2 linked regions of the Lonchura striata genome follow. The protein of the gene in region 1 purifies or fractionates together with the protein of each later gene. This does not show direct contact. Links are inferred from orthologs where the notes say so. Each region holds a gene or a part of one and is shown in the gene's direction. Other genes may lie near its edges.

Evidence for each region. The genes of interacting proteins can lie anywhere in the genome.
Region 2: the proteins of KLF11 (region 1) and SIN3A purify together in Homo sapiens (affinity purification with western blotting, with the first as the bait; 3 studies listed by BioGRID). This does not show direct contact. The link is inferred for Lonchura striata from reciprocal best matches to the Homo sapiens genes KLF11 and SIN3A.

The regions. Positions count from the first base shown.
Region 1 is NC_134605.1:99,041,343-99,048,348, forward strand, and holds the start of KLF11 (Krueppel-like factor 11), read left to right. Parts: upstream 1-3,997; 5' UTR 3,998-4,092; coding exon 4,093-4,134; intron 4,135-4,998; exon of another isoform or gene 4,999-5,117; intron 5,118-6,331; coding exon 6,332-6,586; intron 6,587-7,006. UniProt on the Homo sapiens protein: Transcription factor. Activates the epsilon- and gamma-globin gene promoters and, to a much lower degree, the beta-globin gene and represses promoters containing SP1-like binding inhibiting cell growth.
Region 2 is NC_134613.1:5,632,187-5,639,073, forward strand, and holds the start of SIN3A (paired amphipathic helix protein Sin3a), read left to right. Parts: upstream 1-3,871; 5' UTR 3,872-3,915; intron 3,916-5,145; exon of another isoform or gene 5,146-5,222; intron 5,223-5,748; exon of another isoform or gene 5,749-5,985; intron 5,986-6,887. UniProt on the Homo sapiens protein: Acts as a transcriptional repressor. Corepressor for REST. Interacts with MXI1 to repress MYC responsive genes and antagonize MYC oncogenic activities. Also interacts with MXD1-MAX heterodimers to repress transcription by tethering SIN3A to DNA.

The DNA.
Region 1 (7,006 bases):
CACGGCCCCTGCATGGCAGCTCTGATTGTAATTATCTATATTTATTTAGACAGATATCTGTATTTATTTAGCCATTTGCTGGGCTCTGCGTGCTTGCTAAAGTAGCCTGCTGCTGTATGCAGCCAGACCAGATGCTGCTGCCAAAATGCAGTAACTGTAGAGCTGCACCCCAGACAACTACTTTGGTCTATTTTTAACTAGTGGTTAAATATTAGGAAAACTGTCTGAGCCCATAATATTCTCCCTTCAGTCTCTTTTGAACATTTTATGGCATAATTAGCTACAAAAAGGGAATGGGGGAGAGCTGCCTGCATGACCTTTTGTTGTTTCCAGTCTCCAGTATTAATTATTTTCCCTGCTACTCACACAGGATGTTTGATTCTTTCTTGTCATCCCAGCCAAAAGGATAAGATAACCAGAGCAGAGCCTTCTCAACCCTTCACTGCAGCCACTTACATTTGCTCCTTCCTACCTTGGAACAAAGGCATTGTCTCTCTCCAACAAAGAAAGCTTTTCTCTGAAGTGTTTGCCAGGATGTGAGTTGAACAGGCCTTTATAAAACCACAGCTCCTCGGAGAGCCCGATCCAGAGAACACTGCAGCAGCAGCAGCACTGGAGGAGGGGGCTGGTGCAGGAAGGCTCTGCTGGGAGGGACACGACCTTGCCCCAGCCAGGCAGGGCAGGGACACCGGCATGGGCAGGCTGCTCTTTGGAATGGAGTACTGAGGTACCTGGCTTTGTTCCAGGTTGCTGCCTCCCAGGAGGGAAACTGCAGCCAGCATGGATCATCCCAAGGAGCTCACTCGGGCGTTGCTTAGGCAGCTGCACTGCTTGGTGAAACCCATGGGGAAACCAGTGGGTATAGGCACAAGTATAAAGAAGCAGGATAATGTTAACTGTTTTATTATTCACCTTGGTGCAGCCTTGGGAAGGGAAAGAAAGCAGGGAGAAGTAGGAGTAGGGAGAGAGGGAGAAGCTCTAAGGCTGCCAGGGCTGGGAGCTCAGGCTCTGTGGGGTTCAGAGCCCTGATATTCGATGTGAGGGTGAAGGTGGTCCTTCCTCATCTAACACTGCCTCAGCTGGCAGCAGCAGACAAAGGCAAACTTAAGTGACTTTGGTAAGAGTTCCACGGATTTATTTAAAAAACTTTAGTTGCCATTTTTAGCTCAGCAAGGCAAACATAATCAAGCACATTTTCCCTGTAGCACAAGGAGAACAGACCTGTAACATCACTTCTTTTAAGTGGTCCGTGGTCTTGCATCCACGAGCCGTAGCGAGGACTCCTGGGGAACTTGGAACACGTAGGCACAGCCTGTGCTGTGTGACATGGGAAACACCCTGTTGGGAGTCAGGAGAAATGATTCCACTCTACTTCCATGTGACTGCTTCTTCCCTGGCAAGGCTGCTGTGCTGCCTTCAGATGCTGCTACTCAATTAGAAGTCTCTGCTGTCAATGACTAAGTCTGTGCGAGTGCTTTGAGCAGGAACTGCAAGTGTTACAACAAGCAGCAAGGAGAAAACCACAAGTCACTTCCCAACTACAGTAGAACAGGAAAACTTGCAAAATAGATCAGTAGTTTCCTAGTTTTACAATTCCCTGAACGTTTTCTTGAAAAGGATCCATGCAATTGCTAGGCACAAACCCCATGTCCCCACTCTGCTGCCTTAACTATGCTTTTTAGTCACCAATGGCATTTTAACAAACTTTTTTCATTCTCTGGCACACAACTGATTCCCTTTTGCAAACAAAACTCTTTAATGTTAGAACTTGATTTGCAGTTTGAATTATCAGCATTTTCCTCACCATCACACAGCAGAGGCCAGGGCTCCAGCACAGCAAGTCTCATGCAAATACTGAGAGAGAAAGCTGCTGGTAACATATGCATTGCACAAAGAGCTGGCCAGGGAGACCCTTTGAACTTGTGGTTTGATGGGCTGGGATGTGCTAGTGCTGGGAAAGCTGAAGGATGTGAAACGTCTATTAATGGAGAGCAGGGATGAGCACAGTGCAGTGAAGCTTAGAAACTACATGGACAGCAGAGAAGGATGGGATTTGGAACAGCTATAATGGAAAAAATAAATCCCAGTGGCAAAATGAAGCTGACAGCAGAAGATGCCCATAGATTCAAGATGATTATCTGTGTGGACACTTGAGGTTGTAACGTCTTGAGAAACCAGGGAAGGAACAAATAGAGATAATTCAGCAGGATAAAATGCTTTTGCTATCCTTATTCTGTGTCAAGGAGGCCTAAGCGAAGGGGCAGGGTGGGTCAGGATAGCGCTGGCAAAGCCAGCAGCCATCAGAGGCCCGCGGAGCCGGGTCCGTCCTGTCCCGGGACACAGCTAAGCCCTGCCCGCGGAGCCGGGTCCGTCCTGTCCCGGGACACGGCTGAGCCCTGCCCGCGGAGCCGGGTCCGTCCTGTCCCGGGACACGGCTGAGCCCTGCCCGCGGAGCCGGGTCCGTCCTGTCCCGGGACACGGCTGAGCCCTGCCCGCGGAGCCGGGTCCGTCCTGTCCCGGGACACGGCTGAGCCCTGCCCGCGGAGCCGGGTCCGTCCTGTCCCGGGACACGGCTGAGCCCTGCCCGCGGAGCCGGGTCCGTCCTGTCCCGGGACACATCTCCGAGCCTTCCCTGCAGACCCAGGTCCGTCCTGTCCCGGGACACGGCTGAGCCCTGCCCGCGGAGCCGGGTCCGTCCTGTCCCGGGACACATCTCCGAGCCTTCCCTGCAGACCCGGGTCCGTCCTGTCCCGGGACACGGCTGAGCCCTGCCCGCGGAGCCGGGTCCGTCCTGTCCCCTCGCAGCTCCGACAGCAGCTCTTGGTGCTGCTCAGTACAACCACAAATCCTGCTGGGAATCACAGGGCCAATACACTTCGGCTGCCACTGGAAAATGACAACAGCTGGGGACAGGAAAAACCGAAGAACATCTTTAATAGAATACAAGTTGTGACTTGAAGGCTTTTAAGAGCTACATGCTGGGCTGGCCCAGGGGAGACCTTCCAACACCAACGGATCCAATGATCCATAACACTGACCCTTCATGGATTTTGGGAGGGGATTTAGGGCTATTTGTAATCCCAAATCCTTCATCCGGCAAAGCAGTGCCGTGGCCGGGCAGGCACCCGACCCCTTCCCTATCCTATGTGGCAGGCAGGACCTCGACGGGCGCGGCGGGGACAGGGCGCTCTTCCAGCCGGGAAGCCGGCGGCGGGAACCGGGGAGCGGCGGGAACCGGGGAGCGGCGGGAGGCGGGGAGCGGCGGGAACCGGGGAGCGGCGGGAGGCGGGGAGCGGCGGGAGCCGGGGAGCGGCGGGAGGCGGGGAGCGGCGGGAACCGGGGAGCGGCGGGAGGCGGGGAGCGGCGGGAACCGGGGAGCGGCGGGAGGCGGGGAGCGGCGGGAACCGGGGAGCGGCGGGAGGCGGGGAGCGGCGGGAGCCGGGGAGCGGCGGGAACCGGGGAGCGGCGGGAGGCGGGGAGCGGCGGGAACCGGGGAGCGGCGGGAACCGGGGAGCGGCGGGAGGCGGGGAGCGGCGGGAACCGGGGAGCGGCGGGAGCCGGGGAGCGGCGGGAGCCGGGGAGCGGCGGGAGGCGGGGAGCGGCGGGAACGGCGGCGGTTGGCGGGAGCGCTCGTGCCGCGCCGCACGCACCGCGGGGGGAGGGGAAAGCGGCGGCCCCGCCCCCCCGCGCGCGGGCATTCCCGGCCGCCGCCCGCCCCCGACCTTTCCCCCAGTTTCCAGCGCGCGCTGCCCCGCCCCTGCCGGCCCCGCCCCCTCCCCGCCTTCCCGCCGGCCGTGCCCACGCGCCGCCCTTCCCGCCGGCACGCCGCGATCACGCCGCCCGCCGCCGCTCATTGGCCGGGCGCGGGCCGCGGCGGGCGCTGATTGGCCGGCGCCGTCCCTTCCGCGCGGTTTGGCGCAGGCTGCGCTCGGAGCGCTCCCTCGGCGCGCGGCCGCGCCGCTCCCGGCGGGCGGGGCCGGGAGGAGGCGGCGCCGCCGGGTGCCGCTCCCGCCGCTGTGTGCGCGCCGCTGCCGCTCCCGCCGTGCCGCTCCCGGGAACAGCGCTGCCCACGCCGCCCGCCCGAGCCGCGCCATGCACGGCTCGCCCTGCTCGGACATGGGAGATGCGCCCGCGGTGAGCACCGGGCGCGCGGAGGGAGGGCGGGAAGAGGGGCGGTGGGGATGGCCAGCGCCGGTGCAGCCCGGGCACGTGCTCGGCGCCGGGCGGAGTGCGGGGACCGCCGCCGCCTCGGCGGGGGCCGCTGCCCACCCGGCGGGGGGCGGCTTGGTTGGGCAGCGGGTCCTGGGCGGCTGTGCCAGGGCAGAGCCCTCGGAAGGGAGCGTTCACCTGCAGGGAAGGGGGGCGGCCCTCCTTCAGCGACCGTGCGGGGGCGGCGGCGGCAGGGTGGGAGCTGCCCGCCGCCCCCTTCTCCTCCTCCTTTCGGTGGCACCGCCCGGCCGCGGGGAGCGGGCGGGGGCCGCTGCGGCGGGGGAGGCGCTGCCCCGCGGCGGGACCCGCGCTGCCCCCGGCACTGCCCGCAGTGCCCGCTCCTCCCTGCCCGGAGCGACCCGCGCTGCCGCATCTCCCTGCCCGCCACGCTCCCTGCCCGTCCCCGTCCCGCCCGTCCCCGTCCCGCCGGCCGCCCGCACGTAGTTCCCGGCGGGGTGATGCGAGGACAGGCGCGGTTGGCCATTTCCCTGGCAGCAGCCGGGGAGCCCGCGCTGCAGCGCTCGTCTGCAGAAAGAGCTTTTTCTGTCAGGGTGGTTTTTTTTAAAATTTCGGAGTGTGTTTTGAGGAAGGGAGGCACATTTTTTTTAAGGTTTCTCTAGGGAAAGCTGCTCGCCTGAAACGTAGGGTTGGAAAAAATAAACCTGTGTGCTCGGCTGCTTGCAGGCGCGCTTAGAGGAGCACTGGCAGACTGCTCAGAGCCAGAGCCCCGCCTGGCCTGGCCCGGTGTGACAGGCGGGTGAGGTCCAGGCTTGCAGGCACACATCGTGTTTTCCTCTCATTGTTTTTCAGTGGCAATTCTTAGAAGTCTGTCTCCAAGGTGTTAATCGCTTTTACCCCTTCCGGCCCCCGAATCATGACATCTCCGTGCCTGGTACCTCATGTTTTAGGTGAAGGTCTTTTGTGAGTGCAGTACTAATATTTTTGATCCATTATGTTTAGCATGTTTGCCTGCACATCCCTAGAGTGTAAATACAGCTTTATATCTTTGTGACACTGTTCAATAAGGATCATCTCACATTACTTAACTCAGTAACAAAACCCATTGACTTAGTGTACAGGTTGTCAACCAATGAGTAGAATTCCTTCTAGGGCTTGAGGCCATGCTAATGGTGTGGTGTTGCCTTTAGAGTAAAATCTTTTTCCTGCAGTACATAAACATTCTGTGAAACAGCAATAGGCTCAAGAGGCTTGGTCCACACTTCTGAATCTCAGCCTTCAAATTAGTTGGTGTGTCTAAAGACTGGAGGAGCCTGGATGCCTAGCTGAGACTGAGCTGGCATGTCAGTAATAACACATTAACCTAGCATAGCTTTTGGAGTCACTGCGAAACACTGTGAGAGCTTTGTGAAGTTTAGATATCCTTGTGCACAGAAGTCAAGTGTTTTGCATGCGTACACATGCCCACACAGATATTCTCTGATGCTTGTAATTGGAAACAAATCAGTATGATTACATTTGTCTTTGTTTTACTCTTAGTGTGCTTTAGATACCTAGCATCAGGCTAGGTTTAGATACCTATGTAGCATCAGGCCTTTCTGAAGTACAATGCAAACAGTTCTCACTGCACTTTGAAGACCATTTTCCTTCTATCTTTTCCCTATCCTGGCTTCTCTATTAAAAATACTTTGTGATGTGCAGTACTCCAAGGCAATGATCATACCTTAAAGCATCTTACCAGCAGCTGAAATTTATCTTATTTCCAGAATGAGATTAGTGCTGAATAGTCTTTTGGATTCAGGAAACAGCCTTGTCTAAACAAGGTTCAAAGTCAGGATTTTCCTCTTTTATGCTTGTATGCAAGCATACAAGGGGTGTGTTTGTTCAGACCAGTGTCATCCAGGAAAGTAAGCGTGGAAATGCGAGCCATGCACATCTGTTATTTTCCTGGAAAATCACATGTCTTCTTTTTTTTTTTTTTTTTTAAGAGAAGGGAATGTGAAGACAAGCTCAGGGGACAGTGAGAGATGAGCCAGTTGGTAAAAGTCTTGCCACGGGCATGGGATCTGTTTCAGTTGACCTTCATTGTGAGCAGACTGTGTGTGGGTGGTGTCAGTTTTGTATTCTGACTTGTCCTAACAGCCAGTAATCTGATTACACGCAGGTTGACATCGTGGACATCTATGAGTCCATCCGTGAACGGCAGCGTCATGACAGTGAAAGGTCCACCTGCAGCACCTTGGAGCAGAACGACATTGAAGCTGTTGAAGCCCTTGTTTGTATGAGCTCCTGGGGTCAAAGATCACAGAAAGGTGACATATTAAAGATAAGGCCCCTCACGCCCTTCTCGGATTCTGGGGATTTCACAATGCATGCCGAGGCTGCGGCTGAATTACCAAAGGACTATCTATCGACACTGGTAAGAAAAGCATGAACACAAATAAATATGCCCAACGCGTGGATGTCACATCCCTGCAGTGCTTTAACTTGGCTGGAAAAGACAGGCTTGCTCAGGTGTCCCTTTGTCATAGCCTGTGCTGTATGTGTGCACAGAGTCAGGAGGTGGGCATGTTGAGTTTGTTTTTTTGCTCTCTCTGGTTTAGCAAATGTAGAGGCTTTTGTTAAATTTAGGTGTGAAAGACAGGTTATTGGATTTGACGGGGATGTCACCATGGCTGTTGTAGGTTTCTTGGAGCACTTTGAGTAAGAATGGCAGAGTGAGCCTTGGTGATTAGGCATCAACATATCTGCAAGCACTGTATAAAAAAAGGCCCTTGATGATATTATGCTTCGCTGGTCATTTTAAGAGAAAGTACACACTACCATTATGAAATAGGCA
Region 2 (6,887 bases), on another chromosome or scaffold:
GGTTTTTTTGTTGTTGTCGGGACCACCTAAGATGTACCTAGAGAGGGGCTTTGCAAAGTCCTAGGAAATGTATTCCCAGTCCTGGGGCTGAGGAAGAGGCACGTGCTTCGGTCTCACCTGAGGCTCCATCTGTGTGTCTGTATGTATGTGTGTATATAATATACCCCCGCTGTGACCCCCTGCCTATTATATAGATACATATATACGACCTCCCCTTTAGCAGCTCCCAAGGGTCCCCGCTGTCCTGCCACCTCACTGCTGTGACCTCTGGAGCGGTGAGTTTGGTCCTGGCTCTGTTTTGTCTTCCCCCTTCTCCTTATTTCCCCTCATGGGCAACGTTGGGACCCAGTACCCACTCCTGTGCCCATCCCGCCGGAGGCACAAGGATACTTGATAGTGTCCCCCGTTTCTTTGTCTCATCTTCCCCATGGAGAGGTAGCAGCTGTGCTCCTGGGAAGATCTGGAAGATTGGGTTGCCGGGGGGTGCCGAGCTGGCAGGCATCCCCTGCCCCTTGGGTGCCGCTGAGGGAGTCACTAGGTACGAGGTGACGGGGCCGTGGGGACCGACCGGCTCTCCAGGTTGCCCGGCTTTCCCAAGCTGCCGCTGGGAACCCGCGGGCCCAGCCCTGCGTTGAGTCATGGGCTGGGAAAGCGCTGAGCAAGAGTAAACCCCAAACCCTGGAGAGGCAGCGAGCCTCTGCCCCGGCCCCAACCCCTGCCACTGCCAGGGCCTCCCCAACTTTATACTGTAATAAGCTCTTTGAATGTGTATATTCTTATTTTTTTATAATCTTGGGGGAGGAGGGCACAGGGTTTGGGAGGTTTGGTTTTGTTTTGTTTTCTTTAGGGATTTTTTTTTGTTTGTTTTTTTGGGGTTTTTTTTGGGGGGGGGGGGTTGGCTTTTTTTTTTTGGTTTTTTTTGTATTTAACATTAACTTGATCCAAGCCGGAGCCAGAAGTATTTGTAAATGTTCCTATTTTGCTCTCAGAGAGACCTTTTTGTTGTTGTTACTTTTTTGGGAGTTGTTTTGTTTTTATTTGTATTGATATATAAATATACCACCAGTGACCAGTCCTCTTTGCTGTTGTGGGGGCATTGGGCAGGACAGAAGGAGGGAATTCAGGGTTTTGCACAGGCTGTGATCTCTAAATTCAGCTGGCCCCATCCCTGGCTACCTGTGAACTTTGAGGAGCACAGGGCTGTGCTTAGGGCTTATTCTGGCCTGGGTGAGGCTGAGACAGAGATAACCAGGCTGCAGGAAGCTTTCCTGGGCGGGCCGGATAGTGTCAGGAGGGAAGGCAGCACAATGAGCTGGTGTACCCAGGGGCGACACAAGCCACCCTGCTCCAAGCTCCTGCCTCTTCCCAGGGCCTTGACAAGCCTTAGGACATCAGTCTCTGTCTGGCCATGGTATCTGCCTGCTGCTGCCTTTTGCTGCAGGATTTGGGGGTGCAGACATCGCCTCTGTGCTTCTGAATCCCCTCTGAGCAGGCAAATAGGGCACAAAAATTAGGGGGAACTCCTGGGCTGTCAGGCAGCACCAGTGCCTTCAGGTGCAAGCAATGCCAGTCCCAGAGCAGCAGGCGCAGCCTGAGGCTTAGGGATGAGGGAATAAAAAAGGCAGCTTGTGCAAATGAAGCCCTAGAGCCAGCGAGAGAGCTCATGCCCCAGAGCAGGGCAGCTGGCGGGTGTGAAGAGCCGCACCTGTGTTTGTTCAGCTGGAGCCTAAAAACGTGAGGGATGCCAGTGTCTTTCTAGGACTAGCACAGGGAGAAGCTTTCCCCTGTGCTCTGGGGGTGGACTGGCTTGGCTGTGCCAAACTGAGGTCAGACACAAGCACTGCAAGGCTGGAAAAGAACCAGAGGCAGCAGGGAATCCGTCTGGAAGGGCTGCACAGGAGTGCACGAGAGGTGGGTGTTGGGAGCAGTCCTGGAGCTGTGCACATCCTGCCTGCAGAGTGGTTCTGGTTCAGCTGCCATGTCCCATCCTTCCAGGTACTTTTTTCCACCCAGCTCTCTCCTGGAGCAGCATCAGCCCAGGCAGTTTGCTCTGCTCCTGTGGCTCAGGCTGCCCCAGAGTTTCCCTCCAGGCACCTATTGCAGGGTGGCTCCTCTAAGAGAGCTCTCATCCTCTGAAGGAAGGCTCCTGTGGCCCTACCTCCTCACTGCCAAACTTTTTCACCCAGCTGGGCTTTCTTCTCGGCACACATGCAGGAGGGGAGTGTTAGCAGTTTATTGTTAATCCTGTGCTGTCAGCAGCAGCTCTCTGTAGCTCAGCGGGGCTTTTGGCAATGTGTTGGGTCCAGATCTGAAAGCTGCAGGTGATGCCAAGTGTCCTACGTGGCTCCACGAATGTGCCCAGCTCATGTCTCTCTTCCACTGGCTGTGAAATCCCAACGAAGCCCGCTCTGAGCACACGGTCAAGGTGGTTGTGCATTCTAGCTCAATTCCACGTGATGTGGGCACAGAGAAGCAAAATGTTTCCAAGATTCACGTCCTGGGTGTCGAGTAGGAATAACCAGAGGAGAGGGAGGGAGATAACCAGCGCTGCCTCTGAATGGGAACAGCTCGGATATGCTGCTCCCTTTGAGGAGTGATGAAGATCCCATCTGTGCTGGAGGCGGAGGAAAAGGTTGTAAACCTTTTCCATGGGAAAACAACCCAAACACACCCTCCCTTACTATTTCCAGGGCTGCCTTTCTTCTCAAAGCCAGCATTTTCAGTCCGCTTGCACAACATGATGTTTTGTTCCATCCATTCTGTCCATGCCAGCAGGTCCTACTCAGCAGTAGCAATAAGGATTTCTCTGGAAATGGTCACATCACACAGACAGCCAAAAGTTTCTGGAAAGAAAAACTTTGTATTGTTTGGAAAGCGGTGGGAAAAATGGGCTGTTGAGTGCAAGCAGCCTGATGCCTGGAGGATCTCCCCTTCCCTGAAGTGGCCCAGAGATAGGGATCAGCCACCACGGGCAAAAGTAACAGCACAGGCAATTCCAGGAACAAAATCCCAAGTTTCGCTGGAGTTTGGAAACAGGGATTTAAAGGCATTGCAGGGCAATCCTAAAGCGGCGCTGCCATCGCTGTGCCCACCTGTCTCATTTGGCTTTCTTGGCTGCATGCACGCCACCTCGCTAATGACGATTACTTTAGTGCTTGTAATTTTGCGCCCTGGGAGTTTGGAAAGAGCCTAGCTCCAGAGCTCTTAATTTCCCAGCCCTTCTGCTTCCTTGCCTCCGATTTCCAAGGTTCAGGCTCGATCTCCAGTGGCACTGCAGCCCGTGCAGGCTCAGAGCCCGGTGTCGAGAGCCCTTCCAGGGGTTAATCCGAGCTGCAGCTCCCAGCTGCGGAGAGCTCCTCTGCTGTGCCGGCTTGTCCCGGCAGCAGCCCTCTGCCTGCTCCTGCAACGCTCTCCCAGCCTGAGAGAGGGAAGAACAGCTGGAAAGAAGAACAAAAAACAACTAGATTTAGACCTTCTCTGAGTGAAGAAGGTGCTCGAAACACACACTTGAATAGAAGCGTGCAATATGTGTGTTTGTATTTCACCCTTTCCCGAGCACGCTCCAGACGCCCAGATGAGCACTGACGGGCGGCCAGGCCTGGCTCCCGCAGCCTCCGTCTGGGGAAGCCGGCAACCCCCTCCGCAACTTTGCAAAGGGAGAGAAACACGATGACTGACGGCACTGACCCCCACCTCCATCTCGCGTTCCAGCGGAGGGGAACGCCGGCTGCCGCCGCGGGGGCACCGGCCGGCTCGGCTCCCCCCGCCCTCCGCCGAGCGGCCTTTCCCTCACACCCCTGCCCGCGGCCCCCCTCCCGCCGTGGGCGGCGCGGCCGTGACGATCGGCGCCGCGGGGCCAATCCGCCCCGGGGGGAGTTCCCCCTCCATTCAGGGCTGCTCGCCTGCGCGCTGAGGGTATGTAACAGCTGCTTCCCCCACACGCACTTTCCCAGTTTCGCCCCCCTTCACGGGGATCGCTTCCCGAGCGCCGGGCCGGCGGCCGGGCGGGAACCTGAGGGAAAGGCGGCGGGGGGGGTGGAGGGGAGAGAAGCGCGCGCGCGCTGCGGATCCCGCCGGCGGGAAGCGCGCGACGGCGGCGGGAGCGGGCGGGGGGGGAGGCGAGTGACTGAGTGTGTGTGCGCGGGGGGAGGGCGGGGGCCATTGCCGCGGTGGCCACGCCCCCTTCCTGGCACGCCATTGGCTGCAGCCGCTGAGGGCGCCGCCCCCCGCGGCGCGCACTGCCCACGGTCCCCCCCCTCCTCCTCCTCGGTGCGTGCGTGCGTGAGTGTGAGCGTGTGCGAGTGTGCGGGGCGTGTGCGGGAGCCCGTGTGTGCGTGTGCCGTGTGCTCCCCGCCCGCACGTGTAACCGACCCGCCCCACGTGGGGCGCCGCCATCCCGGAAGTGAAGGGGTCGGGGACAAAAGGCAGCGCCGCGCCGCCCCCGGGACCGAGCCCCGCCGCCAAGTCCCCCCCGCCACTCCCGCCGCCGAAGCGGTTGGCGGCGGGGCCCGGGGCCGGTGGGGGGGCTGACGGGGGCAGCCGCTGGCGCGGGCCGCGGCCGCGATGTAAACATTCCACAAAAGGGCTCCCCAGAGAGGGGGGCGTGGCCTCGCCGGTGGCGGGCAGGGCCAATTCGCCGCGTGGGTGGGCTTCTCGGCGTGACGGCGGCGCGGCCCCGCTCGCCAATTGGCCGGCGCTCCGGTGTCGCAGCCAATAGGGCGGCGCGGGAGGCGGGACGGGGGCGGGGCGCGCTGCTTATACGGACATTTTTCTTCGGCGGTCGCTCCCCCCCCTCCTCTCCTCCCTCCCTTCCTCTCCACATCCCCTTCCTGGGGGCCGCGGCCAATAGGGGAGGGCCTGGTGGGCGGGGCCAGCGCTCCCATTGGCCGAGAGAGTGACGGGCGCGCGTCCCAGCCAACGGGCGCTCGGGGCTCCCCCCCTGCGCGAGGAGGGGCGGGATTTCCCGGGGAACAGAGAAGCGGGCAGCGCTCCGCCGCGGCGGCCGACAGACGGTTACTCCATCTTACCCCCCCCGCCGAGCCCCCCGCCCCCGCCGGGGCACCGGCGCCGCCCCCGCCCGCCCCCCCCCTCCGGGAGGAGGGGCGCGGGGACCCCCCCTTCTCACTGCGCCGGGGACAGCCCGCCCCCGCCGCCCGCCCGGGAGGTGCCCGCCACCCCCGGACCCTGAGGGAGACGCGGCCGCTGCCAGGAGCAGCTTCGAGGTAAGGAAGAGCGGGGCGGCGGGGACGGGAGGCCGCCGGGCCCGGGGCCGGCCCCCTCCGGCGATCCGTAGGGGGCGGGGCCCGGCGCCGGTGCGGCGGCGGCGCGGGGTTGGGGGGGGGCCGGTCGGTGCCCGCGGCGCGGCTCCCCGGGGAGCCCCGGCCCGCGCGGGCGGCCGCGCGTCCTCCCGCCCCGCCCCGCCCCGCCGGGGTGTCCCGGCCCCGGCATGGCGGGAGCGGCGGGCGGAGCGTGCGGCGGCCGCTGGGCGCGCTGCGAGCCGGGCGCCGCCTCCTCCCCCCGCCCCTCCGCCCGCCCTCCGCCCGGTGCCGCTCCCGGGCTGCGGCGGGACCGCCCCCGGCAGCGCTCGCCCGCATCGCACGGCCCCGGTACCGGCCGCACCGCGCGCCGGAGCCGCCGCCGGGGCTCCCGCCCGCCCGGGGGGGCGTTCCGAGAGCCGGCGGGGGGGGCGCGGTGCTCCCGGTCCCGGGGCCCGCCCAACTTCCCGCGGAGTTGCCGTGAGAGCGCCGTGCCGGGCCGCCCCCCCGCCGCCGTCCCGCTCCGGCACGGCCGCGGGCTCCCCCGTGGCTTCTCGCCGCTCTCCGGCTCCGTAGCGCAGCTCTCCGGAAGGACCTGTTGGAGCGACGCGTGGATGCAGGGAAACCCGAGAGCTCCTCGTGCACTCATTAATTTTCCTGCGATTTTTATAGCGAGCCGGATCCTTCTGCTCGTCCTCCCGTGCTGTGAACTTGGCAGACGCTTACGCTGGTATTTCATCCCTTTTTAAAAATTCTTCAGGCTCGTGTACATCCCTAGAAACTACTTTAAGGTTTGTAGGGTTTTTTTTGCTAGCAGGACCTAGTGGAGTTCAGGTAGCTTTAAAAGTAGGATGGTGTTTATGTCCGCTTAACTAAATCCTGGTTTTTCTGCCTTTTCCTGGCCTGGGTTCACGTTATTTGTGTGAATAGCACATGTGCTTAGATAGAAGTTACATCCCTGAAGAAACCTATTTATTTGGACCACTGAAATGGGGCAAAATTAGTTGTGTCAGCTCTATTTTAAACAAATTATCAAAGGCATCTCCAGCTGTGCGTGGATTTTCAGTCTCCCACGCTGTCTAGAGGAATCTAAACCTGGTCTATGTGTTAAAGTGTAGCTTAAAGATGACATAACACCTCATGTTTCTCTTTAACTTGCCGCTTTTAGTTGTGCTAAAAGGTGCAGGGTCAGTAAACAAGTGGGAAATGCCCAACTTAATTCAGTACAGCTGTATCTTTACTGGCCATTTTTCACTCCCAACTTGTAATTATTTTTCAAAATACACTTTCAGAAAAGTAAACATTATTATATAAGATTACATTACTATGTAGGATTAACTATATAGTGCAGTATTTTAAATTAAAATGGCATTTTATTTTAATATACTAATTTTAAAGCATCTGTAAGACTTCCTTCATCACATAAAGTGCCTTGGCAGCCTGGTGTCAGCCTGTGCTGGATCTCCAAGGACAGAAAAACACTTTTTAGGGTGTTTGTTTTTTTTTTTCCCTGCTGAGGTGAAGTTAGCAGTTTTTCACATGGGTACGCTCTTTACAAAAGGAAATCGTGCTTTTCCTCCCCCCAAACTGTCTTATCCTCATCCCTCCCACCTTCTGCTTCTGGTGGAGACA